Sus scrofa: one gene and its partners. The protein of the gene in region 6 interacts with the protein of the main gene of each other region in a pairwise test. Links are inferred from orthologs where the notes say so. Each region holds a gene or a part of one and is shown on either strand. Other genes may lie near its edges.

Region 1 (4,075 bases), on a different chromosome or scaffold from region 6:
AAGGTTTTGTCCTTATTGTACAGTGATAGCAAACGTTGACTAGGTGACAGATACTATCCTAAAGCACTTTGCTAACTTAACGCTCACAACTAGCCCCAGGGTATAGGGGGCCACATGTTATAATTCCCATTTTGTTTATTTAAAAAAAATTTTTTAAATTAAAGTATGGCTCAGTGGTAATGAACCTGACTAGTATCTGTGAGGATGCAAGGTCCATCCTTGGCCTCCCTCAGTTGGTTAAGGTTCCAATGTTGCCGTGAGCTGTGGCGTAGGTCACAGACCGGCTAAGTCGACTCCTAGCTTGGGAACTTCCATATACCGAGGGTGCAGCCCTAAAAAGACACACACACACACACACACACACACACACACACACACACACACACAAAAGTATAGTTGATTCACAATGTTCCTTCAATTTCTTTTTCTTTTTTTTTTTTAGAGGGCTGCACCCACAGCATATGGAGGTTCCCAGGCTAGGGGTCAAATTGGAGCTGTAGCCACCAGCCTACACCACAGCCACAGCGACACGGGATATGAGCCACGTCTTCAACCTACACCATGGCTCATGGCAACGCCAGATCCTTAGCCCACAGAGAAAGCCAGGGATTGAACCCGCATCCTCATGGATCCTAGTCGGGTTCGTTAACTACTGAGCCATGAAAGGAACTCCTGTTCCTTCAATTTCTGATATACATAAAATGACCCAGTCCTACATATATAAACATTCTTTTTTTTTTTTTAATTCTATTTTCCACCATGTTCTAACCTAAGAGACTGGACACAGTTCCCTGTGCTGTAAAGCAGTATCCCATCATTATCTGTTCTAAACAGCTTGCATCCACCAACCCAACCCCCCCCCCCCCCCCCCCCCCCCCCCCCCGGCAATCACAAGTCCACTCTCTATAATTCCCATTTTACAGAGGAGGAAACTGAGCATAAATAACTTGGTCAAGTTCACAGCCAAGCAAGAGAAGCAAGCAGGCAATTTGCTTCCAAGTCCATACTCTTAATATTTCTTTTCAACAGCAGGTGAAGACACGGGCTCATAAAATGAAGAAATTCCCTCGCCTGAAAAAGGAGCTCTAGGTTATTTTCAAACCCAGAGATTATCTCCGTGTCCAGCAGATGGCGCTCCAGGACACGCCACTCTGTGGGGTTTTCCTAAGAGGGCAAAACTACCATACCCATAAGACAGGGCGGCGGCTGAGGGCCTCTTTTCGCTTAGGTGTCTGAAGCAGTGCCTGTGTGCTCTCCAGGAGGAACGTGCGTATCCGAGCCATTCGGGTCCTTCCTCAATTTAAGATGGCACGTTAAAGGTTTTTCCCGCTTCATCTCATTCCCTTTGTCATTAGTGGGAGAGCGGAAGGACGGAATCAACGCTACTTGTTGGCTTCATTTGTCCTATCCTAGTGTGAGGACCCTTGACCTTTAACCCAAGCTGGCGGCGCCCGGAGCCTTCGCTCTTGCCGTGGACCTGCGATGAATTAAGGCCAGGAACTCCGCACCATGTCGAAGCTCAGCCGGGCCACTCGGGCCCTCAAGAAGCCCGAGGCCAGCGGCATGATCCGGGCCATCGTGCGGGCAGGCCAGGCCAGGCCCGGACCCCCACTCGGCCCCATCCTGGGTCAGGTGCAGCCGCGGCGGGAACCTGGAGTGGGAGGCCAGGGTCGGGTGGCCGCTAGTACGCGCGTGGAGGGTGCGGGCTGGAGCCAGGGCGGCCTCGGTTTAGAACATGGATCTGCTTGTCCACACGCAGTATGGCTTTGGGTTGGTCACAGAGCTTCTTCAGTCCTTCCTCGACGAGCTGTTGTGAGCCTAGACAGACGTGGAAGCATACAGATCACCTGGCACAGAAAATGCTCGTTGAATCTGGGTAGAGAAAAAAGGATGGGAACTTAGAGAAGTGAAGACGGAGGAGAGAACGGACAGAGAGCCTCCTGGGTGGTAGGAAGCTTCCCTGCGCCCCCACGCTAACCCCTGTGCCTCCGTCACAGCGAGGCGTTTCCATCAACCAGTTCTGTAAGGAGTTCAACGAAAAGACAAAGGACATCAAAGAAGGCATTCCTCTGCCCACCAAGATTTTTGTGAAGGTGCGGAGTTGGGACGCTGACCCCCAGTTTCCTTCTCATTCTCCCTCTTCTCCCCAGGTCCTGAAGCTGGTCGCTTGGGGTTGCTACTCTGCTTCTAACTTGGGGCACGTGTCATCCTGTTCCTGGGCCCCACTGTCCCCATTTACACGGTGGAGACTAGTCCGTATCTTTCCGGAGCCCCCCATCTACTGCCATATTGCAGATCTTAACTTTGCCCCTCCAGCTTGCTGGGGCTTCCAGAGCAGAGTTGGGTCTGGAAGAGAGGTGACAGGGATGTTTATGGCAGGTGAATTTTTCTGTGGTTTTGTGGTCAGTTAAATGGGCATCATAGGAAGGTGATTTGGGGAAAAGGAGGGACAGGAAGTTAAAAGTTCCCCAGGCAGAGGCAGCAGGGGTGGGGTGGGGGGGGAGAGAGAAAGAAGTAGTCTCATATTTCTTTTGTCTGTGAAGCCCGACAGGACATTTGAAATCAAAATTGGTCAACCCACTGTTTCCTACTTCCTGAAGGCTGCTGCCGGGATTGAGAAGGGGGCGCGGCACACAGGTAAGGGGCAGGGTGGGCATGGGGATTCTGCAGGCTCTGGAAGGAAGCAGTGACCTCTGAAGAACAGCTTGTTCTTTCCTCCCAGGAAAAGAGGTGGCAGGCCTGGTGACACTGAAGCACGTGTACGAGATCGCCCGCGTCAAAGCTCAGGATGACGCCTTCGCCCTGCAGGACGTGCCGCTGTCCTCTGTTGTTCGCTCCATCATTGGCTCTGCCCGTTCCCTGGGCATTCGTGTGGTGAAAGAGTGAGTGTCCAGGGGAGGGTCTGGAAAGTTCTTGACCCTGGGACAAAGATGAGGACCCACTGAGTGGGAGAGTCAGCTCCTGACTTAAGAGAGCTTAGATTCTTGGGAGTGCAGGGCCTCATTCACTGGAATGTATTTATTAAATATTCGTCAGATATTGTCCTGGACATTGGGTGCAGCTGGGAAGGAGGTAGCCATGCTGGGTCTGGCTTCTAAGGAGCTCACAGCCCAGAGATGGAGGCGAATTCATAAAAGGAGAATTATATTGTTGGATGGTCGGTGTGGCTAAAAGGAACTACAGGTGTCTTGAGTACAGGGATTAGGGTTCCTGATTTTGCCTGGTGTGTCAGTGAAAGCTTTGCAGAGTCCTTGACATCTAAGTAGAGCCCTGGGAAGCGAGGTCAAGGAGTGGGGGCAAGCATTCCAAGAAGTGGAAAAAATGTAAGGTGGAAGAGAGAGACGCAAAGAAGTTCGGTGTGACCCGGGTGTGTGCTACTAGAGGCGGAGTGGGAAATAGTATGAAGAGGGGATGCAGACAGGGACCAGTGTGTTCTTGAATTCAGACTTGACCCCAAGGCCAGGAGGGGTCCCCTCATGGGGCTTCCGATGACCTCAGGAATTGTTTTTTTTGAAGTGAGGTGTCAGGTGGGAGAGCATCCGGCGTGGACAGCAGAGGCAGCACCCAGCCCTTCGCTGGCCTCTTGCTGCTGGTGTTTCCCAAGAGGAGTGGGGTTAAGCATGGGACAGGGATGGACTTGACTTTGCTCAGGTCTTCACTTGTACAGAGGTGAGTGCATGTGATCCCTGCTCTAAGAGAGACATACAGGCACCAGCTAACGACCTCTTTGTACAGAATCTTTGGGGCACAGAGGAAAAGTGGGTTAATTTGGCCTGGGATGTAGCCGAGGTCTCGGAGGTTGAGTAGGGCTTCAAGAAGGGAATAATAGGCAGAGGCGATGGGGGGGTGGCATTCCTGGCGGAGGAAACAGATGGGCAGAGCCCTGGAGGCTGGGGAGTCCAGCGGGGGAGGAGGGGTTCTGAGAAGGTGCCGTGGGCACCTGTGAGCCCCCCACCAGTGCCAGGCCCTCACGTAGCGTCTGTTTTTCTGTACCCGCAGCCTCAGCTCAGAAGAGCTGGCAGCTTTCCAGAAGGAGCGCGCCCTGTTCCTGGCTGCTCAGAGAGAGGCAGATTTG
Region 2 (4,004 bases), on a different chromosome or scaffold from region 6:
TGCATGACTGCCAGCTGAGCAGCATTGGGAGGGCATCCAGGGGGAGGAGGCTGAAAGGAAAAGACAAGGTTGATTGGGCACCGGGCAGCTGATACGAGAGAAGTGGACAAAGATGAAAGAGGACCGGTCAGGAAGATGGCAACGTGCTACTTGAGCCAGCAGTGTGGGTGAAGCAGGTCTATATTCTCTGTGAGCCCCAAGACATAAACAGAAAACAGATCCTACCCCTCATTTAAAGGGTCCCAGATCCAAGATAAAGCCTAGGGATCCCTCCTGGGTATGCACAGTCCAGACCCATAAGCATTTGCAGGGTGGAAAATCCCTCTGACTCCCATTCCAAAAAATGGGGAGGGGTTACCAGGTCCATGGCCCTACACCACAGAGTTCCTCAACAGTTTTCACATGGATAATCTGAAGGCTCTACCTGATGACAGCATTCTCACCTCATTGTTAGCATATGGTTACTGCGTGAATGGCCCTAGCAAGGACCATTTGGGCTCTAGTTACCATACATAGGGAAACTAAGTGGGAGACATAGTAAAAGCCCTAGTAAAGTCTTCCTAAAGGGAACTTAACAGGGATACGCATTCTACTTTTTAATCATCATGGCTCCTGATAAAATGCTGTGCAAATATTAAGTAAATGCTTATGGAATGAATGAGGAGTGTTACTAGACCAGTACCAAAGTGAACTGGAAAAGCAGCAGGCAGGACTCCTAAGACAGAAACAAAGGAATCTGGTTAACTCAGACCTCAGTGAATATGCCAGAGGCTACTGACTTCCCACAGTTCTCCTGCCCCCTCAAGTGAATTCTGCCTGATTACTGGACGTCAGTGGTTGCACCAATACCAGCAACTACTGCCCAGGGATGATGAAAGGATGACTATGTAGTCATTTCAGAAAGTTAATATACACAAGGGCTGAGGTTTTTGTGATAAAGGCATACTCACAGGAATGTTGCCAGCAGTAGCGCCAGCTCCAAATCTGGCACCTGTATCATACCCTCCTTCCACCAGCACTGTTGAACCAGGTGGATAGATGGGACCAACTGGATAATAAGCCATGGGGATTGTGGAACCTAAAGGTCCAACAGCCACAGACTGGGCCATGGGAAGGTACAGTGAGGCGCCAGGAAATGCAGCTGACATGGTGGGGACTGTGGCAGCCCCTGGGTGCACAAAGCTCGGACGATAGAGCTAGAAGAGGCAGAAGAGAGGGCAACACGTTACTTTATGACATTCTTATTTCAGATCTCTTTCATGAGGCAATTCTTAATTATTGTGCAGATTACACTCTGAGTTACACAAGTTGCCTTTCCACCAGCCACTCAATATCCTCCTGGATCACTTCCTGCTAGAAATAATGTTGGGCTCAAAGAACGCTAACTCATCTTCTCAACTTCAGCCTGTGCCAAAGAGCAAAATAATCAGATAATGCCTTCTCAACCCCAACTGAAATTGCTGAACTATAAAGAGGTTTTAGATTATCCACGTGAGCTCTCTCTCCTGTTTGTGGAGAGTAAATACATGTGTGGAGCCAGACTTAGCTAAAGACTGAAAATGTGATCCAAGAGTACTCAGTTCAAGTCTAGTAAACTGGAAGCACCTCTGAATAGGCAGGTGGAGCATCAGTATAGGGTGGAGCCTGAGGAAGATGCAAGGTCTGAGGGTACACAGGATTCCCGGGAGGCTGCACCGGGTAGGTTGGCTGCGTTGGATATTGACCTGGAAGACAGGAAAAAAAACAAAAAACAAAAAAAAGAATGTTGCCTACCACACAGAGCAACCAAAATGGGGCAGAGCATACTGGGTAGCTAACCTCACTGAGCCAGCAAGAGGTTTGCAAAAACACTGTCCTAGAGGGCCTGATTCCTGGAACCAAGAAAATAAACACTCTTTGTACCCTTATAACTGAGATGCTGGATTCTAACTGGGCTGGAAGGTCTCTTTACAGTAGCACACTGGTACAAGGGGAAAGTCTATCTAGGCCCAAGATCCTTCCAGAATGGGCATGTCTGCGCACCCATTCCTGTCGATGTTTTAAGTGTGTGCGTCCTCTCTGCTCTGGTGGTCCCCCAGGGCCTGGCTGAAACTGGCCTAGAGCTCGTGAGTAACGGTGTTTGTAGTCCTCCACCTCACAGGTTCCTACTCAAGGTCGACTTCCAAATAAAAAGAGTGGTGAAAGTGAGCCTTGGGATGGGAGAGGAGGTGGAGGCGAATGTCCTAACACAGGAACTGGGAGACGTTCAGGCGGCCAGCGAGGTTAAGGGGAAAGAGACCCTTCGGCCTGCCCGGCCCGCCCACCAGGGCCGGCAATTCACTAGTTAAGCCCTGGGGCCTGCCTGTGGTTCCGGAGCGCGGCGCCCCGCCTCCGCAGGCTCTCCATTGGCCTACCCAAATATCAGCTCTAGCTCCCCATTTGCGCCTGCAGATGCCCATCACGACAAGCCTTCTCGCCCCCCCCCCCGCTCCAACGGCCCCCCACTCGAGCCCGGAGCTCCAAACTGCGCCACAGAGTTTAAGGGGGAAAAGGCCAGGAGGGGGCGAGCAGCCGTAGTTCGGGGATGACGAAGGCGTCTGGCGCAACCCCCGGCACTACAGCTGGCCCAGGAGCGCGGCGCAACTAGCCCCAGGCCTGGCTTTTGATGACCCTTGGTCCCGGGCCCGCTCTCTCCGGGCCAGCACTATTCTCCCCGATGGCCTCAGCTACCCCCTGTCCTTGCCTTTGCTGTTCATGGTGGCTGCGGGTCCGGTTCAGCTCGGCGTCGCGGACGGTTATTTTTTTCGTCCTCTTCCTGTTCGTAGTCACTTCCGTGTCACGTGACGATTCGTCCGCCTAGCGTCACCCGACGCCCGAATGCCGCTGCCACCGGAAACCCCGCCCCTTCGCCAGGTCTCCAGTAGCTGGAGGAAGGACCCGCGTGATCCGCCCACTCACTTTGGCCCCGCCCACTGGGTCGAGCCCTCCAACCCCCACCCTTGTCCCTTGATTGGAAGAAAACAAAGTACAGGTATTGTCTCAAAACAGTATCTTTTCTCTCTTGGTCGCTCTGAGGCAGTACCTTCACACTGCTCCCCGAAACCCTTCCCACCTACGCACTGCAACTCAAGGTCACCTTACTTTGAGAGTCTTTCCACAGGGGGCACAGTGCTACGAATTTCTCTAACTGCCTGAAATACGCTCCTCAAACCCTTGATTTATCCCGTGTTCCCCTCCCATTAAACCCAACTTAAGCCTCAACTCCATAGAGGTTTATTTTGCTGGTCGTATTCACATCTGTCCTTTTCTGACTTAGACCATCACTCGAATTTTCTCAGCCTGTCCATTCTACCGACAGGCTTCTGTGTTTATTTCAGTGTCGCTTTCTCACTAAAAGGAAGGGTATGCTGTGCTGTGAACCCCCCCCCCCCCCACACACACTACAGCTAACACTGAAACTGGCATTCTTGTGGTCCCCAAGGAGTGCCTGTGGCCCTGCCCTTCCTTTGGTACCTGTTACAGGCAACTGTGTGATACCTCATGTATATTTTCCTTTGTGTATCTCCTAAATTAATTGTTCTTGGAGTTCTCTTGTGGCTCAGTGGTCTAAGGACCTGGCGTTGTCGCTGCTGTGGCTCTGGTTATAGCTATGGCAAGGGTTTGACCCCTGGCGTGGGAATTTCTGCATTCCTAGCTGAGGCAAAACAAAACAAAACAAAACAAAACAAAAACCTTGTTCTTAAGGGCAAAGATGGCATCCTTTCAGGCAGCAAATAAGTTTTTCCTTCCATTCTTCGTTTTAAAATATCTGCTGGTGTTGCTCTGTGCAAGTAGAGATGGAGCTGGACAAGACAGGCAAACATTGTTTTCTTATGGAATTTACATTCTATACTTCAGTAAGAACATTAGAAAAGCATCTGAAAAGGGAAAACTTTGGAAAGAAAAGCCCTCAGTAAACCGTAGAAGCCTGATAAATATTTGCTGATGAATGATTTAAACCACTGATTTCAGCTCAGCAATCCCTT
Region 3 (4,078 bases), on a different chromosome or scaffold from region 6:
GCAGCTCCAATTCGACCCCTAGCCTGGGCACTTCCGTATGCTGTAGGCATGGCCCTAAAAAGAGGAAAAAAAGTAAAATCAATAAAGAACATAGCAGTTGCTTGGAATATAATCATTGTGGTGGGAAAATGAGTGCTAATGATAGAGACCCCTCTCTAGGTAGGATCATGTGATTCATTTTCCTCTGTGGAAGGTGGGTGAACCCTCAAAGGTGCCACTTTAAGTCTGAGAAAGCCAAGTGTAAGTGTATCTTTTCCACCTGTTTTCCCATCTGAGCTGGTGGAAATGAAGGCCTTTGAGGTGACAGAACCTGCAGGTGTAAAGCAGAGAATGCCCTTAAATTTCTCCTGGAACAGAGCCAAACAGGGAGCCTCCTACATGTACTGGACTGCGATGTGGATGAAAGTCAAACTCTTTATGTGTAGCTGTTACATTTAAGGGTATATTTCTTTTTTTTTTTTTTTTTTTTTTGTCTTTTTTGCTATTTCTTGGGCCGCTCCCACAGCATATGGAGGTTCCCAGGCTAGGGGTCGAATCGGAGCTGTAGCCGCCGGCCTACGCCAGAGCCACAGCCGCGTCTGCAACCTACACCACAGCTCACGGCAACGCCGGATCATTAACCCACTGAGCAAGGGCAGGGACCGAACCTGCAACCTCATGGTTCCTAGTCAGATTCATTAACCACTGCGCCACGACAGGAACTCCAAGGGTGTATTTCTTATTGCAGCATAGCATAGCCTGTCCTCACTACAGAACAATTAAATGGTAGTAATGATTACTTTTTTTTTTCAAAATATAAATAGCCACGAAAGGAAAATATCACAAAGTTAATATGAAATATGTAGGATTCTTTCTTCTTGAGCAATAAAAAAGAAATTTTGAGGAAGTGCCCCTTGTGGCTCAGCAAGTTAAGAACCCAACTAGTATCCATGAGGAGTTGGGTTCGATCCTCAGCCTTGCTCAATGGGTTAAGGATCCGGCGTTGCCATGAGCTGTGGTGTAGGTCGCAGACATGGCTCGGATCTGGCATTGCTGTGGCTGTGGCGTAGGCCAGGGGCTGTAGATCCGATTCGCACCCTGCTTAGGAACCTCCGTATGCTGCAGGTACAGCCCTAGAAAGCAAAATACATAAATATATGTATATCTCGAAGCCCAGAGCTCAAGAAATTGGTCACATGATAATGGGTAGAGACAGGAAGGAAGGAGAGGAGGTCAAAAAAGGGAAGAGGAAGGGGTCCCAGGGCCATCATGACCTGTGGAAAGTTGTGAGGCCCCCACTGCATTCTAGCACCTCAGGTCAGCGCCCCAACCTTCTCCACTGAGCCTCAGCATCAAAGATGGACCTCATCCATGGAGGTGTGGCCCTAGGAGCTAAAGGTCTTCTAAGAAACCAATCTAACTACTGAGGCCAAGTTCATGCTCCTCCCTGCAGACTCAAAGCCTCAGGGTGAACTCGGCAACTATTGTCCTAGCTTCGTAGGCAGGGGTAAAGGCAAGTTTTTTTTTTTAATAGGGAAGATTTTTCACTAGTTGTGTAAAAAACAGAGTAAACTACTGCTTTTCTTTCTGTCCCTCAGCAAACTGGAGAATGTTTGGTCACCTTCCCCTGTGTCATCATCACTACGCTGAAGACTTCTCAGTGTCCTGCATAGAAGGGAGCCAGGGATGACCAGTAAAGGTCATGGTACCTCCAGAGACAATCGAGCAGAAGCAAATGGTCCTTTTTATTCTCAGGACGTGATGGATCTGAATAACACGGAGGGACCGCCGAGCTCCTGGGTGTGAGGTAAGGAGGTGCTTGGCATCAAGTGGGAAACGGGGTCACTAAAACCGTCATTAAGGCGTTCCCCTCATGGCTCAGTGGAAGCGAATCGGACTAGCATGCATGAGGATGCAGGTTCCATCCCTGGCCTCCCTCAGTGGGTTAAGGATCTGGCGTTGCCGAGAGCTGTGGTGTAGGTCACAGACACTGCTCGGATCTGGCATTGCTGTGAGCTGTGGTGTAGGCTGGCAGCTGTAGCTCCGATTTGACCCCTAGCATCTGGGAACCTCTATATGCCGTGGGTTCGGCCCTAAAAAGACAATAAAGAAATACAGAAATATCCTGAGTTTGATAAAAAGTGTTCTACCCACATTCCTAGACCTGTAAAAAATGACCAAAATATGCTGGAAAGCTGCAGAGTATAACACTACTTTGATACATGCCTAGATTTTTTTTTTTTTTTTGTCCTTTTTAGGGCTGCATCTTTGGCATATGGAGGTTCCCAGGTTAGGGGTCTAATTGGAGCTATAGCTGCCAGCCTACACCACAGCCACAGCAACACCAGATCCGAGCAGCATCTGCGACCTACACCACAGCTCACGGCAACGCCAGATCCTTAACCCACTGAGGGAGGCCAGGGATAGAACCCGCAACCTTATGGTTTCTAGTCGGATTTGTTTCTGCTGCACCACAACTGGAACTCCCACACCTAGATTTTAACCCTAATTTTACCTCTTTATCTGGACAAGTTACTCAGCCTTTCTGGAATATTCTTTCTTTCTCTTGCTTTTTAGGGCTGCACCTGAGGTTCCCAGGCTGGGGGTTGAATTGGAGTTGTAGCTGCCAGCCTACACCACAGCCACAGCAACATGAGATCTGAGCCTTGTCTGCCACCTACACCACAGCTCACGACAACTCAGGATCCTTAACCCGCTGAGCGGGGCCAGGGGTTGAATCTGTGTCCTCATGGATGTTAGTTCGGGTTTGTTACCACTGAGCCACAACGGAAACTCCCTACATTGTAAATCTCAATTTCTTTAGCAAAGACAACATTTTAAACGGTAGTGAGCAAAGTGACTTTCTCTAACCAGCAAGCAGGTGGCTGTTTCATTTCCATTCTGAAAAATGACCCCCTCCTGCCCAGGAGGGGAGGGCTGGAGAAGGCTGATGTCACACAGTCCCACATAAAAGCGTCCTTTGGGCTCCCGCAGGCAGTTTGGAAACAGCTGGAGGAATGAGTTAGGTACTCTTTTTTTTTTTCTTTTTTTTCAATTCAGACACAGACACAGCTGTTGAGCAAAATGCAGACTCCCCAGAAAAGCCCAAGCCTCAGACCCTTCAAGCAGAGGAAGAGCTTAGGTAAAGTTCTCAGAGTATTTGTCTGGGTTTGGGCCCTCGAGACAGGGAAAGACGAGGACACGGACTTCTGCTCCAGGCTGATATGTTCATTTCATCTTACGTGTTCACAGCAACCAGAAGAGAGGAAGTGGCTGGAATCCGGATGAAGTTCCCTGGCAAGATCCCGGTAAGACTCCACTGTGGCTCCTCAGCCGGGCCTGTGATGTCCCCTTCTTTGAGAAAACAAAACCCGGAGCTGCTGTTGTGGCTCAGCAATCACGAGCCCAGCTGGTAACCATGAGGATGTGGGTTCGACCCCTGGCCTCACTCAGTGGCCCAGGGATGCCGCATTGCCGTGAGCTGTGGTGTAGGTTGTAGACGAGTCTTGGATCCCATGTGGCTATGGCTGTGGTGTAGGCCAGCAGCTGCAGCTCCGACTGGACCCCTAGCCTGGGAACTTCCATATGCTTCAAGTGCAGCCCTAAAAATCAAAAGAAAAAAAAGACAAGACCAAACCCAGGCAGTGACCCCCTTCTCTCTATTCCAAGTTTCTAAGACACGGAGACTGAGGCACATTCTTGGGCATTTGCTTCGGGAGAGATTCAGGTTGAAACTCTTGACAGGTGATAGTGGAGCGCTACCCCAGGGAGAAATTCCTGCCCCTGCTGGACAAGACCAAGTTCCTGGTCCCCCAGGAGCTGACCATGACCCAGTTCCTCAGCATCATCCGGTAGGTAACAAAGTGCATGCAGGGGCCGGGGGTGGAGGTGCGCCCTGTGGCCCTGGGCTTCTTGGAACAACGGGAGATGGGCTACAGCAGAGAGACAGGGAAGGATGTGGGTTTCACCTTTTCTCTTCAACTCTGCCTTTTAAAAGGATGATGTTGAGTTCCCGTTGTGGCTCAGAGGGTTAAGAACCTGACTAGTGTCCATGAGGTTGCAGGTTTGAACCCTGGCCTCATTCAGTGGGTTAAGGGTC
Region 4 (4,265 bases), on a different chromosome or scaffold from region 6:
CCTAGGCTTAAAAATCCCCCATGGAGACAGAGCTTTGAGGGCTATCTCCTGTCTCCTTACTTGTCATAAGTAATAAGAAATAAATGCTTCCGGTTTAACTGAAAGTTCTTGGTGTGTTCATCAGTGAAGCACCCCAAGTGACAAACTCATTGTGTCTGGTCACACAGGGTCAGGGGAAGACTTGATGAAGCCTTTAAAATTTTTGGTCCATCCATTCTCACCACACATGGTCAGGTCATCATCATTTACTGCCAGTCTGTGGTTTCTCTGGACTAATTCTGAGGGATGAGGGCTGCTGCAGAGGCCCAGAGGCTTAATCTTGCTAAGCCTGGCTAACATCTGATAGGAGGAGTGACAGCTGGAAAGAGTGGTGGGAAGAGTCAACAGAGATAATCAATAAACTATACTAAGGAACAGAAGAGCTGTTGTTATGATTGTGGCACGTGGAAGTTCCCTGGCCAGGGAGTGAATCTGTGCCGCTACAGCGACTCAGGGCAGCTGCTGTGACAACACCAGATCCTTAACCCTCTGAGCCAGCAGGGAACGCTGAAGAGAGTTTTATTTGAGCCAAGCTGCGGACTGGGGCAGGAGTGCAGCCTCCACCAAGGAAGTAAGGGCTCCAGAGAAGCATGGTTTTCAGCACAGTTTCATACCCTGTCAGAACAAAGAGAATACATCAAACACGACAGGGGTACCTTTCTTCAAGGTTTCAACAGACCCTAGTTACAAATTAGCATATAGACAGACAGCGAGCGTTACCTTGACATCTGGAACAGGTACTTTAATCTCCAAGAAGATCTAGCATTGGTGTCATAGGAAGGGAGGCATTTCTCCCTACTGTAAAAGTGGACATTCTTTATATAATGGTTAAAGCAAAATACAAGGTATGTTTGACTGTTCTAGTTCACATAAAGTTCAGGACAAATCAGGTATAAGCCCGGCTGGCTTCATTAGTCCCCAATATGCGAAATTTTCTTCCATCAGAGGTGATATGGGAGGCGTAACAACAGGACTGATTTCCTTCCCAAAGCAAAGCACAGCATGCCTGGAGCCCATTATTAAAATACATGTGGAAGGGAAAAATGACTGAATAAGAGCGTCTCAATCGGGTAACGTTGCCAAAGCTGCCCCTTCGCCTGCGAACATCTAGACAGTACCAGCTGCTGGCATCGTAATCGACCGCCAAGATGGCGGCGCCCTCTCAGAAGCCGTTTAGGACGCTGCCATGTGTTGCCTATGAACGGAGGGACTCTGCCACCTTACGGAATCGGATTTCAAGATGACGGCGTCTGCTTGGAAATCGCTCAGTAGGCGCGACCATATTGCCTAAACGTCTGGGCCGTACAAACAGTCCTGTACGGACAGGACCCGCAGACAAGGTGGCGGCGCCCTCGGTAGAGCGAAATATAGGCGTGGCCATGTTGCTTGCGAACTTATGGACGCGGCCACCGTACGGTCTCAGTAGTCAAGATGGCGGCGCCTGAGAGACAGTCCGGGCTTTTAGGCGTGCTACTTGCTTGTTTGTCGCGGAGCGGACGCACTGGGCCTGCGCAATAGGAGTACCTTGCTTGGGAGGCGCGTCTAAAAGCGGAAGTGCTTGTGGGCGCCTTTGCAACGGCCGCGGACGCCGCCGAGCGGTCTGTGTAGGTTCGCGGGTCTCTGGCGGGGTTTGTGAGGGGCTTCGCCAGGAGCGGAGAAATGGTGAGTGCGAGGTCCCAGGATGGGTCGGCGGTCGAGGTCAGTGGGGTTGGAAGCGGCGGGTTCCATGGGCAAACGCATAGGGGGTCTTTGGTGAACCGTAAGAAGAGTCTCTGGGCAGAATGGAGGGGGCCCGTGGTAAGCCTTAACAGGAGTCTGTGGGTAGAATGATGGGGGGCTGATGGTCAGATTTTTTATTTATGCGTAAGCCACATGGGAGTTCTGTGATGAGGGTCCGTAATGGAAGTTTAGGGGGGATCCGTGGTGGTAGTTCCTTGGGGGTCCGGATGGGGGATTCTTTGTGCGGAGTGATGATAAGCTTGCGAAGAGTTGTCTTGGGCAGTCTGGAGTGAGCAGTGTGAGTCCGTGTGGAGGGACCCAGGGGGCGGGGCTGTCTCCGAGGTTAATAACCGGGCATCTGAGGGGAACCCAGGTGGGAAGGCTGAGGAATAAATCATATGGTGTCTGTGAGACCCTGTGGTGGGGATTTGTGGGGAGCCATGTCGGAGGGCAAAATATGGTGAGTGGTAGGTTGTTTGTAACTAGCCGTCAAGAGTGGGAGAGTGGAGTAATGGGCTATCAGTGGGATGAGTGATTGGAAGTCTGGGGCAGAGTAGTGGGTGTCAGAAGTGAGTCATGGGGGTGATCTGTGGGGACTATGGTGGAGAGGTTGATGAGGAGCCATGATGAGACTATTGGCAGAGTGTTGGGGTCTGTGGTGAACCTTGATGGAACTGTACTGGAGGGATGAGGTGCCATGATGGGGGTTCTCTAAGAAGCCATGGTGGGGATATCCCACAGGAGGGGGATGCTTCAGACCCAGAACCTCCAGATGCTGGGGAGGACAGCAAGTCAGAGAATGGGGAGAATGCGCCCATCTACTGCATCTGCCGCAAACCAGACATCAACTGCTTCATGATGTGAGCTGGGGGAGAGGTGGGCAGGATTGACACCTGGCCAGGTTGCGGGGAGGCCGATGGGGCAGGACCCCTCACATCTCCATCACTCACCCTGTTTTCTGCAGCGGGTGTGACAACTGCAATGAGTGGTTTCATGGGGACTGCATCCGGATCACTGAGAAGATGGCCAAGGCCATCCGGGAGTGGTATTGTCGCGAGTGCCGAGGTGAGGGAGTGGAATGGACAGGGCAGGCAAGTGGGGCTTCGAGGGAGGAGGAGGAGCCTTTATGGGAAGGTGAGTCCTGGGGAGCGGTGATATGTGTCTGGGGACAGAGTGATTATTGGTTGTGCTGAGCTGGAACGGAGGCTTCATTGTGAGCTGTGATAGAAAGTCCCACTGGCAGGGGCAGCTCTTCTGGGGGTATGAAGACAGAGCAGGTGGGTGGGACAGAAGAGGAGAGAAGGGGAAGAAAGACTTCTGGGACCATCCATATCTCCCAGTGCCAACACATGCTGGCTGTATCCTCTGTCCCACAGAGAAGGATCCCAAGCTGGAGATCCGCTATCGGCACAAGAAGTCACGGGAGCGGGACAGTAACGAGCGAGATGGCAGTGAGCCCCGGGACGAGGGTGGAGGGCGCAAGAGGCCTGTCCCGGAAGCGGACCTGCAGCGCCGGGCAGGGACGGGGACAGGGGTTGGGGCCATGCTTGCCCGGGGCTCCGCCTCGCCCCACAAATCCTCTCCACAGCCCCTGGTGGCCCCACCCAGCCAGGTGAGTGGCTTTGATGTCTGGAATAGGTGAGGGGATCCTATCTCAGGCCCTGCTCTGGTTCCTAATTTCTGTTCTGGGCACCTCGTCCTAGCATCACCAGCAGCAGCAGCAGCAGCAGCAACAACAGCAGATCAAACGGTCAGCCCGCATGTGTGGCGAGTGTGAGGCCTGCCGGCGCACTGAGGACTGTGGCCACTGTGACTTCTGCCGAGACATGAAAAAGTTCGGGGGTCCCAACAAGATCCGGCAGAAGTGCCGGCTGCGTCAGTGCCAGCTTCGGGCCCGGGTGAGCATGGGCAGGGCTGGGCAGGGTCTGGGGGGGCCATTGTCTTCAGAAAGAGATGATTAAGGCTAGGGCGGGTGGGCTGGGTGGGGTGGGGCATAATTGTATACAGATAGCTGGGGAGGAGCCCGGCCTGTCCTGATGAATGGGGTGCAACCAGGTGTGCTGGGCTAGCAGGGGAGCCCCCAACCTCAGCTGGGCAGGGTAGGACCAGATGTTTCCAGGTGGTCAAGCATGTCAAGGCAGGTGGGGCAGGGCTGAGCATGTCCTAGTGATGGGGGGGCAGGTGTGTTTAGGGAGTTGGTGGGGTCAAGCACTTGTGGAAAGGGTAAGGGCAGGGCCACCCTCCATCCACCTGGGGCTGACCTGGGCCTTCCTCCTGCCGGCACAGGAATCGTACAAGTACTTCCCTTCCTCGGTGAGTCCAGCCCCCCAGGGCGGGCGGGGCATGCGGGCAGGGCGGTCAGGGCCAGTCCTGAGATTCTGCCCCGCAGCTCTCGCCAGTGACGCCCTCAGAGTCCCTGCCAAGGCCTCGCCGGCCACTGCCCACCCAGCAGCAGCCACAGCCATCGCAGAAGCTGGGGCGCATCCGTGAGGACGAGGGGGCAGTGG
Region 5 (4,123 bases), on a different chromosome or scaffold from region 6:
TATATAAATTATTTTACTAATATTTACCAAATAACCAGATGGTATTACAATCAAAGATCTGACTGAAATTCTTATCCCATGTATTTTACTAAATAATTTTGCATTATAATTCCAGGAAATACTGATTTTAAAAGTACATCAGTAGAAAATTTCTAACTTGAAAATTTTATTAAAAATACTTATTGTTGAGAGTTCCCACTGTGGCTCAGCGGGTTAAGAACATGACTAGTACCCAAAAGGATGTGGGTTCTATCCCTGCCTCGATGAGTGGGTTAAGATCACAGCGTAGGTCGCATATGCAGCTGTGGCATAGGCTGGCAGCTACAACTCTGGTTCAACTCTTAGCCTGGGAACTTCCATATACTGCAGGTACAGCCCTAAAAAAGAAACAAACAAACAAACAAACAAAAACTTATTAAGAATACTAGAAGTTCCCTGGTGGTGCAGTGGGTTAAGGACCTGGCGGTCACTGCTGTGACATGAGTTTAATCCCTGGTCCAAGAACTTCTGCATGCCACAGGTACAGACCAAAACAAACAAAAAACAAAAAACCTAAAACAAAATAATAGCAAATACTCCTATACAACTATCAGAGAGGTTCATTTAACTTTTCTTACCTGTAAAATAAGAATAATAATAGCATTCACCTCATAGGTTTGTTCTGAGGGTTTACATTACTTAATAAAACATTGGAACAGTACATGCTAAGTTTTATCTACTGTTATTTAGTAGAAGGGGTTGCTTTACCTCCTCCAAATTAAACAAGTCAAAAGAAAAAAAATTCGATGCCTCAAATATTAATGAGATAGTTTTCCCTGTAGCAAAAAAAAAGTATCCATCAGTACTACATTTAAACCACGGAAGACTCGATGACTAAGCAGAACTAAGAGAGAAACGAAACTAAAGCTTCCAACATTTTCCTTCCACCAATTCTGTCATCAAAGTTCAATACACACTGACCAAATCTATTACTTTGCCTCTGTTAAGAAAAAACTGAATCTCCAACACTGGATGTAACATAAGCTGAGTAACCGGTTAAGCCATGTTACACAGCAAGAGAGATTTTGCAGGTGTAATTAAAGGATACCAACCAGCTGATGTCGATAGGGATTGTCCTGGATTATCCGGTGGACCCAATGTAATTACACAAGCCCTTAATAAAGAAAGAAGCCAGAGAAGTGTGATAGAAGAGGAAATCAGAGATTTGAAGCACGAAAAGAATTTAACACACTACTGCTGGCATCTGAGATGGCGTGTAGGTGGGCAGACTAGGAAACTGTAACGAAATGAACTCTGGAGACAAACTCAAGTATCCTGGAAGTGGATTCTTCCCCAGAAAATACAGCCCAAACCGGATAACACCTGAATTTCAGCTTGTGACCCCCTAATCAGAGTACTTGGCCTGGTCTAAGATCTGTAAGAAAAATAAATGGGTGTAGTCAAAACATCAAGAGCTATGCCCTAAAAATATACATTTTCTATTTGTTAAATAAACTTCATTAAAGCTAAGAAAGGAAGAAGGTAGGGAGGGAGGGGAAGAGGAAGGAAAAAGGGAGGGAGGGAGGCAAAGAGGAAGAGAAAGAAGCAAACGCTGCACCCCTCTTGGTTTATATATGTAACTCCCACCTATTAACTTACACGTTGGTCAAAACCTCCAAACTGTTGTTTGTGCTCCGCCAAACTCAGGAAACATCAACAAGAGCAAAAGAAAAGGATACAGAGATGCCATGGCCACAAGCCTAATTTACGTCGTGAACAGGGAGCGACCCAATTTAAACCATAGGCTCAGGTAAAACCGATCATTCCTTGAAATAAACACAGGCACAGGACTGCGGTAATCAACCAGAAGCCATCCCGATGCTGCACGGGTGATCAAAACAATTCGGAAGACTTGCGTCTCCTAACGTCCAATGACTCGGCATCTCCAAAGAGCGTGACCAGAGTCCGCCAAGGGCCACGGAGGTCTGACACTAAGTCTAAAGGACCCCGATCATATAAAGTCCCAGGAAGGATACGCGCGCGGGGAGGTGACCCGGCCCCGGCCGGGAGGTCGCAGATGAGAAGGTGGCCCCAGGGCTGTCGGACGCCCAGGGGTCCCGCAGGAAGGGCCGCAAACCCCAACCACCGCTCACCCCCGGGCGTCGCGCGGGGCGACTTCCCGCACCCAGCCCGCCGCTGCCGCGGTGAGAACCAGAGACGGGGCTGCGCGGAGCCGGTCCCACCCGTCCAACTCCGAATGGGGACAGCGCAGCCCAAGTAATCCCCCGCAGTCGCGCGCAGCAGCCCACTCCCCCGACTCACCCCGGGGCTGGCGTAGTAGGCGTCGCGGGCGCTCGGCGCAGGAGGCTGTTCGTCCGTCACCGCCTGTCGTCCGCGTTCCCGCCGGGCGCGCGCACAGCTACGGGAAGCAGAAGGGTCAAGCCGCCTTTTCCCGGTTCGCGTGCGGCCGTCCACGACGGCCCTGCCTCCGCGTCGGGGGCGTGCTCGCGGATCTGCTGGGCGCTGGGGCTTCCTGCTGCCCGCCTCCGCCCGGCCGGCTTCTACACGGCCTCTGGGGAGTCAGGCCGCGACCGGCTTGCTGTGGGACGAGTAGTCTGGAGGGGACGCAGTGTGTGCTTCAGATTCCCGGGCGGAGCTGGCCGTCTCTGCCGCACCTTTGGGGCTCGGGGGCCGGGGATGGGGAAGAGGAGGAGACCTTCTGCTCCCCTCCGGCGTGTCCGCAAGTCTCGGAGGGAAGGCGCTCAGGACGGGTGCGGACCCGGCAGTGGCCGAGGAGGGTCTACGTGGCCAGGGCCACCGCCTCTGTCCTGCCCCGATCGAAGGGGTCAGGGCCAGGTGTTCGAGGTTTGCTTCCTTGTTTGTCTTGGATCAGAGTCCAGACAGTCCGTGCTCGGCCTGGAAAGAGCCTGGCGTGGAGCTCTGCCTTCTTGGCCACACCTTGGGTCAGTGGGGAAATGCGATCCCACTCTGCCTGGTCTAACTTGGACTTCAGCCCCTGGAGCTCACCCGCCAATTTTGTGCGGTGTTGTTTTCTAAGTTAGGTATTTCCCTGGGGAACGTGTAGAGCACAACTGTGAGCACATTAGGTATTCAGAAGTAACCGACTTTTCAGTCAAGGGCCCATATCGATTGCCAGTTTGACCTACTGGCTGCAAGAAACATCAGCGAGAAATACAAATAGAGTTATGTAAGCTACCTTAGGCAGCTAGTACACTTTGGTTTCGCTTAGAGACCTCAAAGTTCTCATCTTCTTACTTGTCTTCCTTGATTTTTATCCAGGTTTCCTTTGAAAGACATGTTTTGGTGTCCCTGCTCTGTGTTTCTCCTCTGTAACTCTGGGTTTTATTGTTTTTTAAATTGAGGCATTCAGGAGTTCCTGTCCAGGCGCAGCGGAAACGAATCCGACTAGGAACCATGAGTTGCAGGTTGGATCCTTGGCCTCTCTCAGTGCATTAAGGATCCAGCATTGCTGTGAGCTGTGGTGTAGAACCCAGACGTGGCTGGGATCTGGCGTGGCTGTGGCTCTGGCATAGGCTGGCAGCAACAGCTCGATTAGACCCCCAGCCTGGGAACCTCCATATGCCTCAGGTGCAGCCTTAAAAAGACAAAAAAAAAAAAGAGGGATTCATTACACATCATATACTATCCAACTCATTCTGGTCCAGTGTTACATGTCTCTCCTTTTCATTTTCCAAGTTCACTTCACTCTTCAGGATCCAATTTCTGTAGCTGTCTTTAACCCTTGGCATGTGCTAGCTGGGATGTGTACTTACCTTTCTGTGCATTGTTGTTTTTGTCTATCCAACTCCATTTTAAATTGAAAAGAGGGGGAGTTCCTGTTGTGGCTCAGGGGGCTACACACCAGACAAGCATCCATGAGGACGAGGTTCGATCCCACATTGCCGTGGCTGTGGCCAGGCCAGTAGCTGTAGTTCCAATTCAACCCGTAGCCTGGGAACTTCCATATGCCTTGGGTGCGGCCCTTAAAAAAAATCAAATACATATACAGAAAAGAGGGACTTGTCATATAGTCCCCAATGCCTAGTTTATTGCTTTGCATGAAGTAGACACTCTCTGAATACTAGGTTTGAAATGATAGGTTATTGGTAAAGTGAGGAGCAAC
Region 6 (4,215 bases):
TAAAAGTTAATAAAACCAAAGTAGACAAATAAAGATTAGTAATAAAAACTCAGTACGACTTCCTTCAATAGAAACATATTACACACAGTAGCTGACTAACTTAACGGAAGTTTTTCGGTTAAAAACTTATGAACTTTTGGAGTTCCCTGGTGGCTCAAGAGGTTAAGAACCCATCACTGCCACTGCTGTGGTTCAGGCTTGATCCCTGGCATAGAAGCATCCGGGAGAGGCCAAAGAGGGGGGATGAACTTTTAAATTTATTTCCAAACTTTAGTCCTAGAGGAAACTGAACATCAGGAAGGAAAAAATAAGTCTAATATTCTAATAGTTTCCAATTATTCACACTTCAGCTCAAAAAAAAGGCTATCAGCTGGTTTACAAACCAAAAAATTCTTATCAACAATCTTTCTGGGAGGCAGAAACAAAAGAATCAGTCTGTTGATGTGCACTCTTACAGTCTTCCCTATCTCCAAAACTCTTCACAGCTGAATAGCAGGCTATTCTGCCCAGGTGTCACCACTTATATTTAATTTTTATATTGTTTTAAAAGTTGGTTTCTAAAAAGCCATGGTCTTGGCCCATATATATTAGAGGGGAGAGAATCTTTATCTTCTCGTAGGAGTTTGTATGGGGCAAAATAAACTTTAAAAAGCCAAGAGTGATACTGAGTAGTATCCAAATTCCAAAAGGATGCAATTCAATAAACATCACATGTAAGATAATTCCTCCAAAGCAGTAAAAAAGGAGCATGGTTGCAATCTTTCATAAATATATATCATTAAAAAGGGTGAAACTACACAACCTAGAATAGATTTACAAGGATATCCTGCTGAATAGCATTGAGAACTATGTCTAGATACTCATGTTGCAACAGAAGAAAGAGTGGGGGAAAAACTGTAATTGCAATGTATACATGTAAGGATAACCTGACCCCTTTGCTGTACAGTGGGGAAAAAAAAAAAAATTAAAAAAAAAAAAAGGGTGAAACTTAGAATTCCAAAATATCTGTTATTTTGTTAAGGAAAAGGCATTTACAGTTTAATTCTACACAAACGGCTGCAGCCATTATTGTCAACAGGAGTGTGCAATTTAAAAATGTGATGACTAAAAAATAAAAATAGGATATTCTTTGACGTTACAAAAAAAAAAACCCCAAAGCTAGTAAGTTATTTCTAATGTATCCTTTTATTTATTTATTTATTTATTTATTTTGGTCTTTTTAGGGCCGCACCAGCGACATATGGAGATTGCCAGACTAGCAGTCCAATCCGAGCTGTAGCTGCTGGCCTACACCACAGTCACAGCAAGGTCAGATCCGAGCCGCGTCTGCAACCTACACCACAGCTCACAGCAACGCTGATCCTTAACCCACTGAGAGAGGCCAGGGATCGAACCCGCACCCTCACGGTTCCTACTTGGATTCGCCAACCACTAAACCATGACGGTAACTCCTAAGTGGATCCTTGATAAGCACGAAAAGAAAGACTGGCCTCAGCCCTCTTCTATGCGGGAAATAGCACTTTAAGGTTAATTAGCTCACTTCTTGGATTAACATGTTACTCAAATGATCTCTCTAAATGCTTTTGGAGTTGAGCTCCAAAATTACAATTAGCAATTGTTCCTGCATCTTGTAAATATTCCACAATTAGCGGAATGCAGAGTTGAAAAGTTACGATTTTCCCAAGCCTGACTTTTAACAGCAATTCCTAACTACTTTCCGAAACTTAAAAACCTAGCGTACGTAGAAAGTCAAACGTCACAGCGTTCCCAAATTATCAATCAGGTAATAAATGTTTATCAGAACATGCACGCACATACTAATCTCTTAATAAAGATTCCCCGAAACGACGAACGCCTGCCGGGACTTGTACACAACCTGCGGAGCTCCGGGGTGCCGGAGGGAGGGAGAGTTGTGAAATCAGGAAAAGTTGCCTAAGCAAAGACAAACGTGGCTCTCCTCCCAAGATTTTAAAACATCCCTTCGAGAACTCGGCGTAGAGCCACTTATAAACAAAAGAAAAGTGTTTGCTAATTCAGCGGCCCAGGTGAAGTCGGTGATCCAACCAAAACAGCTAACCCAGCCCGCGGCCCCGAGACGTAGGCGGCGCACCGAGTCCCCGCCTCCTAATCTGCCGGCGACTCAAACCAAAACACTTGGGTTTCACCCTTCACGGGCAAGCCCGAGCGTCCCACCCGAGGCGACCTAGATGTTTTCCCAAGTTTATCTACGTCGACAGCACACACGCTGCCCTCAAAACACTCACCCCGCAGCTGAGCCTCGGGCGAGGCAGGGTCCTCTCCGGGGGGCCCACCGCGTCACTCGCCCCCAGCCAAAGGGTCCACGCCCCACACAGGTCCCCCAAATTGCGAAGGCCTAGCCCAGGGCCTCCCCGCCTTGTGAGGCGGCCACCGGTCGCTTTTTCCAACTCCACTGCTAACCGAAGTGGCCCACACCCCCGTCACAATCGCAGCCCGGGAAGGAAGGCACTGTCACTAGGCAGCTTCGTCACCAGGGCGACCATTCCCGAGATCAGCCAGGCCCCTAGTCTCTACTGAGGGGGGGAGTCTCTCGAACCCCCAAAGAGCTCCAGCGGGGGTCCGCCCCGCGCCAGGCGGTGGGGCAGGCAGGGGAAAGAGCTTACCGAGTGGGCAGCTCCTGGGCAGATAAGGGTGTTAAAAAGACTTCTGAGCCTGAGCCGCCATCAGCCCCGATCCTCTTCCGCCACCAAAGCCTCCTTCTACCGACCGGCTACACCTCCTCCCCGGGCCTAAAGCCGGAGCACGTCACTTCCGCCCAGGGACACGCCCCTTCCGCCGCCGCCGCCGCAGCCACGCGAGGTCAGCTGGAACACCAACCAGGTTGTTCTGGACGTTAAATCACCTTGGCAGTTAGTTGCCTGTGGCCGGGCCACGGGCAATTCCTTACCGGCTTTCACCGTCGGTTCGGCTGTTACTCCTCTTCCGCCCTGCCGGTTTTGCTCAGAGACCTGGCCGTAAACAAACAGGGTCCTTTGGGCTTTTTAATTATTACTTTGACCGGAAATTCAAGGAATTTACCAGTTAAGTGGAAAGGATAGTGTTTAAACTGGCACCAGGTCATTGTCTGGATCTTTAAAAATCTGTCCAAGCGAATCTCTTTTGTGGATCAGAAAGTGAAGAACCAAAGAAGCGAAAGAGCAACCGCGTGGCTGGGGCTGCAATCCATCACTCTCTTCAAACTCCTGGCCCAGCCCAGTGCTTGCTTAACAATGAGATTTTATTCCTTGTGAAACCTCGGTTTCCCTTAGGAGTTTGCAATTCCAGTGCTTTATGATTCTATTTCCTCTTGCTCGTTCTACCCGCATTTCTTCGAGTTAACTGCTTTTGTTATCCGTTATTTTGCGTGCATGAATTTATTTAGTCCTGTATCCTTTATTCAGTTATAATTTCTAAAGTCATTTGTTATGACTTCCTAGAGTAGGGGTTCAGTTTAAATCATAACTCCGCGGGGGCAAGTGTGGTCTCTTACAATCATGTACTTGTGTTGCCGTCAAACCCTGATAAAATTTGCAACATCACAGGTGAAGAAAGGATAATAAATTAGATCAGGTCAAATGTTGAAGCATCTTCTAAATTCAAAACGTACAAAAATCTTCTTCAATATACTTTACTTCCAACATATTTAATATTACAATGCCTTTGATAATAAGGGTTCTCAATATCTGCTAACTGATTTGTTTCCTATATATTGAAATATTTGAATTTGGTATTGTTCTGTTTATCATACTTGATAGATTTCAGAAGAACCTTTATAGAACATTTAGTACCAATTTCCTTAGATTACAGATAGTGTGATAATATCAGTAATCACCTGGCTTTACTGGTAGCAACCTTCCAGTGGTTGTCTGTGTCTCTTAAGCAATGTAAATACGGCAGTGAACCCTTATAAGCAGAATTTTTCAGAAGTGCTACTCTTCCCAGCAACTACAGCCAACTAATCTATGACAATGGAGGCAAGAATATACAATGGAGAAAAGACAGCCTGTTCAATAAGTGGTGCTGGGAAAACTGGACAGCCACGTGGAAAAGAATGAAATTAGAGCACTCCCTAACATCATACACAAAAAGAAACTCCAAATGGATTAAAGACCTAGATATAAGACCAGACGCTATAAAACTCTTAGAGGAAAACATAGGCCAAACACTCTCGAAATAAACGACAGCAACATCTTCTCA
Region 7 (3,957 bases), on a different chromosome or scaffold from region 6:
ACTGAGGAAATTGTGAATGACGATGTTCACACATGCAGGCCTTTTGGATGCATCAGACTCACAAGCATGTGGTGAGGATCATGTGCCCAATTAAGTGAATATCTTGTCAGATATGCACCAGCTCATAAACAGATGATGACCCAGGGCAGACCGTCCCATGACTCTTGGAAGAAGAAAGGAATGACGTTCCTGGAGAACCTGAAGGCGGACGCTCAGGCAGGAGACACTCACACAACCCAGGCTGTAACTGTTGAACCCCAAAGCTGAGTGCTGAAGAAACCCGCTTCATGCCTAGCTGTCAGAGGAATTTTCTGAGTCTGTCACCTCTGACTACTCCACCAGTTAAGATTAAGGGGTTTCTTTGTGATCAGCGTGATGTTATGCCCCTCAAATGCATATTTATGATACCTTTTCTTAAATGTTTATTCAGACACTATTCGTGAATAAAGCAAGGAAATGGGATTTGTTTAAACTCCATTTCCAGGTCCAATGCAACCTGTTATGGCTGTCCCCAATAATGAACCCCCCGGGGTTGTCATCAGTATCCCTCCCCATACAGTTTCCTCAAACTAGTCATACACTCCAGATTGAGCCCCCAACCTGGGAATTTCCTGGTGGCCTAGGGGTTAGGGATCCGGCGCTGTCGCTGCGGTGGCTCAGGTGGGATCCCTGGCCTTGGCTGGGAACTTCCGCATGCCGTGGGCGTGGCCAAAAAAATAAACAAAAAACCTCTCAATTTAGCCCAACCCGTTACCACTCTACACAATACCCCTCAGACTGTCAATGCCCTAAACAGACCCCCTGCCATCAGCAGCCACCAAAGACCCCTCTTCAGTCATTGATATTCTAAAATTCCCCTCTTGTCACCAACGCCCCGGTCGGACTTCTCTAACACTCCCAAGAGCCCTGTCGTATCAGCCAGACCTCCACACATCCCTTCCTGTTACCAACGTCCACCGAAACCCCGCTCTTGTTACCAATTCCTGAATATCCCCTTCCCAGTCATCAACTTCCCTTACAGACACCCCAATCGTCAACGTCACCACGGCAACTCCTCCCGCGGCCTCTCGCGGTACCCACTCCTTCCTTGCCCCACGCCTCCTGGCCCGATGCCCTGAGAAGCGGCGCCGGAAGCCCCGCCCCCGGCCGGTTGCTAGGCTCCAGCGGCCGGAAGTCCCGCCTGCCGTGTAGTCACCGCCGCCGCCGCCGCCGTCGTTGTTGTTGTGGTTGGTGCGCTGAGCTCCGCGGCTCCGAGAGCCGGCTGCGTCCTTTCCCCGCTGTCGCCATGAAGTGGATGTTCAAGGAGGACCACTCGCTGGGTAAGCGCTCGGCGTTTGGCCTGCCCGTGGGGGCTGGGGCGGCGGGTGGGCCCCCTCCCCCACTCGGGCCGCCCTAGGCTGGGCCGGGTGGGGCGGATGCCGCCCTCTGAGCTCTGGTCGCCGAGGCCCCAGCACCCCGGGCGGCTAACTATGGATTCCTCGCCGCCCTCCGCGGGCCCCGCCAGAGCCAGGGGAACGAGGACCGAGGTCGCTGGGACACCCGAACGAGGGCCGGGGGCGTGCACAGGTCACGGGGGTGGGGTGGGGTGGAGGAGGGGCGAGGGACCCGGAGGCCGGTGGGCCGGCGCGACCGTCAGCCGGGTGTGTTTTTCTCATAGAACACAGATGCGTGGAATCTGCGAAGATCCGAGCGAAATATCCCGACCGGGTTCCGGTGAGTGAACTCCCCGCCCCCTCACCTCGCTGTCACCCCTGCCGTCTTGGACCCATGATAGGGTCCCTGGCCATTCAGCAGTTGATAAGTTTAGATTCCAGTCCGGTTAGAGTAGTTGACGGGGCCTGACGGCTTAGGGACCCTCGGGCGGCGGCTTGAGGGGCTTGAGTTGGTGCTGTTCAGGATGCCTCAGTGCTGAATCTCCGGAACTAGGCCAGCGAGCTGTCTGCAGCCTCAGGGCTCCCTCGCCAATTATGTAAGAAACGATGTTCTAGGACAGGGCAACAGGTCACAGCCACTTTGGGGAATAGTGGTGGAGGGAGTCTTTCACTTTGGTTTTGGAAGGGATACTTTAGCCTTAGGACATTCATCTTTAACTTTGAGCCTCCGGCTTTACCTGACTTCTCCTTCCCTTTTCTCACCCTGACCCTGTCATCCTTTCCTGACCAAAAAAAATCTGAGGAGCCCCGTCCAGTGCCTTCCTTGTAATCAATAAAACGTATCCTATATTTCTTCCGTGTTAGGGCACATAGTTTCTTTAGTCCTTTTTGTTTTTTGTCTTTTTAGTGCTGCGCCCATGGCATATGGAGGTTCCCAGGCTAGGGGTCCAATCAGAGCTGTTGCTGCTGGCCTACACCACAGTCACAGCAACTCCAGATCTGAGCCGTGACTGTGACCTACACCACAACTCATGGCAACGCTGGATCCTTGACCTGCTGAGCAAGGCCAGGGATCGAACCTGAAACCTCGTTGTTCCTAGTCGGGTTGTTTCCACTGTGCCACGATGGAAACTCCCTGATTGGTTTTTAAAGGACATCCGGGTCTGTTATTGTAGCTCATGGCTTGTAAACAGTTCCTCTGGGGAGAGAGCAAGAGGGGTAAATTTGAAACGTAGTTCAGAGAGAAGCAACAGGCCAAATGAAGAGCTTGGTTCTTGGCTGGTTGGGATTGCCAGTCCATCCCATTAGTCCGTCCATTCTCATTTCCAGTGTTCCTTGGGATCTTATTCCCCTGTAGTGTGGGTTCACTTTGGGGTCCTGAAGTAACAGGCTGTAGAGGAAGCTCTCACCAGATAGTCTCCAGTCTGCCCAGACAAGATGTTGCAAAGCTTTTTTGTGAGGGCTGTGTTTATTTCATGCATGCTGAGATCAGGGATGAGAAAGAAAGTAATTGACCACAGAAAAGCACTTACCTTTCCCCGTAACACATATATATCAATTCTTAAGTGTGTGGTTTTTTTAAGTCGAACGTATTTTCTCATGTTTCACAGTTTCCCACCCACCTCCCTGACCACACATTGTTCATCAGCTCTCCAGTAATGCTGGGCCAGAGCCTCAGTCTAGAAATCCAGTCCCGACCTTTCTCTGCTTTTGCAGGTGATCGTGGAAAAAGTCTCAGGCTCTCAGATTGTTGACATTGACAAACGGAAATACCTGGTTCCATCTGACATCACTGTGGCTCAGTTCATGTGGATTATCAGGAAAAGGATCCAGCTTCCTTCTGAAAAGGCAATCTTCCTGTTTGTGGATAAGACAGTCCCACAGTCCAGGTGAGAGGTGTTTACTGTGTTGGCCATCTGCTTGGTTGCTTGCAGAACTCAAAACTTTGGAGGACTGAAAGCTCTTAGGGGTCTTGACTGGAAATAAGGATTTTGTGTTCCCTGACCTCAGGAGTTCAAGGAAGAGTTGCAGTAGATGGGTGTATACTTTGGGTTAAGACAATAGAGTAAGGCCTGGACTTCAAACAAACAAACAAACAAACAAAAGATGAGATTCAGCCTCAGGCGCCCAAGAATCCTTTAAAACAGTTAGGACTTATTTTGGCTTTAGCCATTTTTAGAACTGAAGCCTGAAATGAGGTTTTCTCCAAATGATCCATGAAATAAGTTCTTCCCCAGGAGCTTGTGGGCCCTGCTGAGGCTCAGTTTCAATCAACCACCCTGCCTGCTTGCTCGCTCTCCAGGCTCAGCTCTGGCCGTGGTGAGAGTGCACTGAGAGCAGCGGCCTGATCCTCAAGTACATGGGAATGGCTGCCGGCCAGCACAGGGCTCTGAGGTCTCTTTACAGCCTTTCACCTCCCTTGGTACCACTTACTCTGACTGTAAGAGGAACCCCCCCTTTGCTCTTGCTGTTGTGCTGCCTGGAAGCAATCTTTGGGATAACCTGGGGCCTGAATCTAGGCAGAGCCTTTACAATTCCCTTCTTGTAGGTAGTTGACAGCCCAGCTTTAGTCCACTGTGGCAAG

The links.
Region 1: the proteins of TAX1BP1 (region 6) and MRPL11 interact in binary tests that used the Homo sapiens proteins (3 or more experiments, as listed by UniProt). The two-hybrid records come from large-scale screens. The link is inferred for Sus scrofa from reciprocal best matches to the Homo sapiens genes TAX1BP1 and MRPL11.
Region 2: the proteins of TAX1BP1 (region 6) and DAZAP2 interact in binary tests that used the Homo sapiens proteins (3 or more experiments, as listed by UniProt). The two-hybrid records come from large-scale screens. The link is inferred for Sus scrofa from reciprocal best matches to the Homo sapiens genes TAX1BP1 and DAZAP2.
Region 3: the proteins of TAX1BP1 (region 6) and MAP1LC3C interact in binary tests that used the Homo sapiens proteins (3 or more experiments, as listed by UniProt). The link is inferred for Sus scrofa from reciprocal best matches to the Homo sapiens genes TAX1BP1 and MAP1LC3C.
Region 4: the proteins of TAX1BP1 (region 6) and CXXC1 interact in binary tests that used the Homo sapiens proteins (3 or more experiments, as listed by UniProt). The two-hybrid records come from large-scale screens. The link is inferred for Sus scrofa from reciprocal best matches to the Homo sapiens genes TAX1BP1 and CXXC1.
Region 5: the proteins of TAX1BP1 (region 6) and LGALS8 interact in binary tests that used the Homo sapiens proteins (3 or more experiments, as listed by UniProt). The link is inferred for Sus scrofa from reciprocal best matches to the Homo sapiens genes TAX1BP1 and LGALS8.
Region 7: the proteins of TAX1BP1 (region 6) and GABARAPL2 interact in binary tests that used the Homo sapiens proteins (3 or more experiments, as listed by UniProt). The link is inferred for Sus scrofa from reciprocal best matches to the Homo sapiens genes TAX1BP1 and GABARAPL2.

What each region holds. Positions count from the first base shown.
Region 1 is NC_010444.4:5,977,216-5,981,290, forward strand, and holds the start of MRPL11 (39S ribosomal protein L11, mitochondrial), read left to right. Parts: upstream 1-1,275; 5' UTR 1,276-1,509; coding exon 1,510-1,632; intron 1,633-1,997; coding exon 1,998-2,093; coding exon of another isoform or gene 2,094-2,379; intron 2,380-2,543; coding exon 2,544-2,637; exon of another isoform or gene 2,638-2,638; intron 2,639-2,722; coding exon 2,723-2,882; intron 2,883-3,999; coding exon 4,000-4,075.
Region 2 is NW_018085018.1:160,763-164,766, forward strand, and holds the start of DAZAP2 (DAZ-associated protein 2), read right to left. Parts: upstream 2,801-4,004; 5' UTR 2,736-2,800; coding exon 2,723-2,735; intron 1,725-2,722; coding exon 1,606-1,724; intron 1,197-1,605; coding exon 951-1,196; intron 51-950; coding exon 1-50. UniProt on the Homo sapiens protein: In unstressed cells, promotes SIAH1-mediated polyubiquitination and degradation of the serine/threonine-protein kinase HIPK2, probably by acting as a loading factor that potentiates complex formation between HIPK2 and ubiquitin ligase SIAH1.
Region 3 is NC_010452.4:15,369,904-15,373,981, forward strand, and holds the start of MAP1LC3C (microtubule-associated proteins 1A/1B light chain 3C), read left to right. Parts: upstream 1-1,278; 5' UTR 1,279-1,786; intron 1,787-2,723; exon of another isoform or gene 2,724-3,039; 5' UTR 3,040-3,063; coding exon 3,064-3,121; intron 3,122-3,231; coding exon 3,232-3,287; intron 3,288-3,723; coding exon 3,724-3,830; intron 3,831-4,078.
Region 4 is NC_010443.5:99,937,326-99,941,590, reverse strand, and holds the start of CXXC1 (CXXC-type zinc finger protein 1), read left to right. Parts: upstream 1-1,465; 5' UTR 1,466-1,698; coding exon 1,699-1,701; intron 1,702-2,499; coding exon 2,500-2,618; intron 2,619-2,722; coding exon 2,723-2,823; intron 2,824-3,134; coding exon 3,135-3,370; intron 3,371-3,461; coding exon 3,462-3,656; intron 3,657-4,044; coding exon 4,045-4,071; intron 4,072-4,147; coding exon 4,148-4,265. UniProt on the Homo sapiens protein: Transcriptional activator that exhibits a unique DNA binding specificity for CpG unmethylated motifs with a preference for CpGG.
Region 5 is NC_010456.5:54,889,246-54,893,368, forward strand, and holds the start of LGALS8 (galectin-8), read right to left. Parts: upstream 2,801-4,123; 5' UTR 2,302-2,800; exon of another isoform or gene 1,639-2,301; intron 1,154-1,638; 5' UTR 1,092-1,153; intron 1-1,091.
Region 6 is NC_010460.4:44,907,466-44,911,680, forward strand, and holds the start of TAX1BP1 (tax1-binding protein 1), read right to left. Parts: upstream 2,801-4,215; 5' UTR 2,643-2,800; intron 1-2,642.
Region 7 is NC_010448.4:12,130,187-12,134,143, reverse strand, and holds the start of GABARAPL2 (gamma-aminobutyric acid receptor-associated protein-like 2), read left to right. Parts: upstream 1-1,157; 5' UTR 1,158-1,285; coding exon 1,286-1,319; intron 1,320-1,657; coding exon 1,658-1,713; intron 1,714-3,089; coding exon 3,090-3,262; intron 3,263-3,957. UniProt on the Homo sapiens protein: Ubiquitin-like modifier involved in intra-Golgi traffic. Modulates intra-Golgi transport through coupling between NSF activity and SNAREs activation. It first stimulates the ATPase activity of NSF which in turn stimulates the association with GOSR1.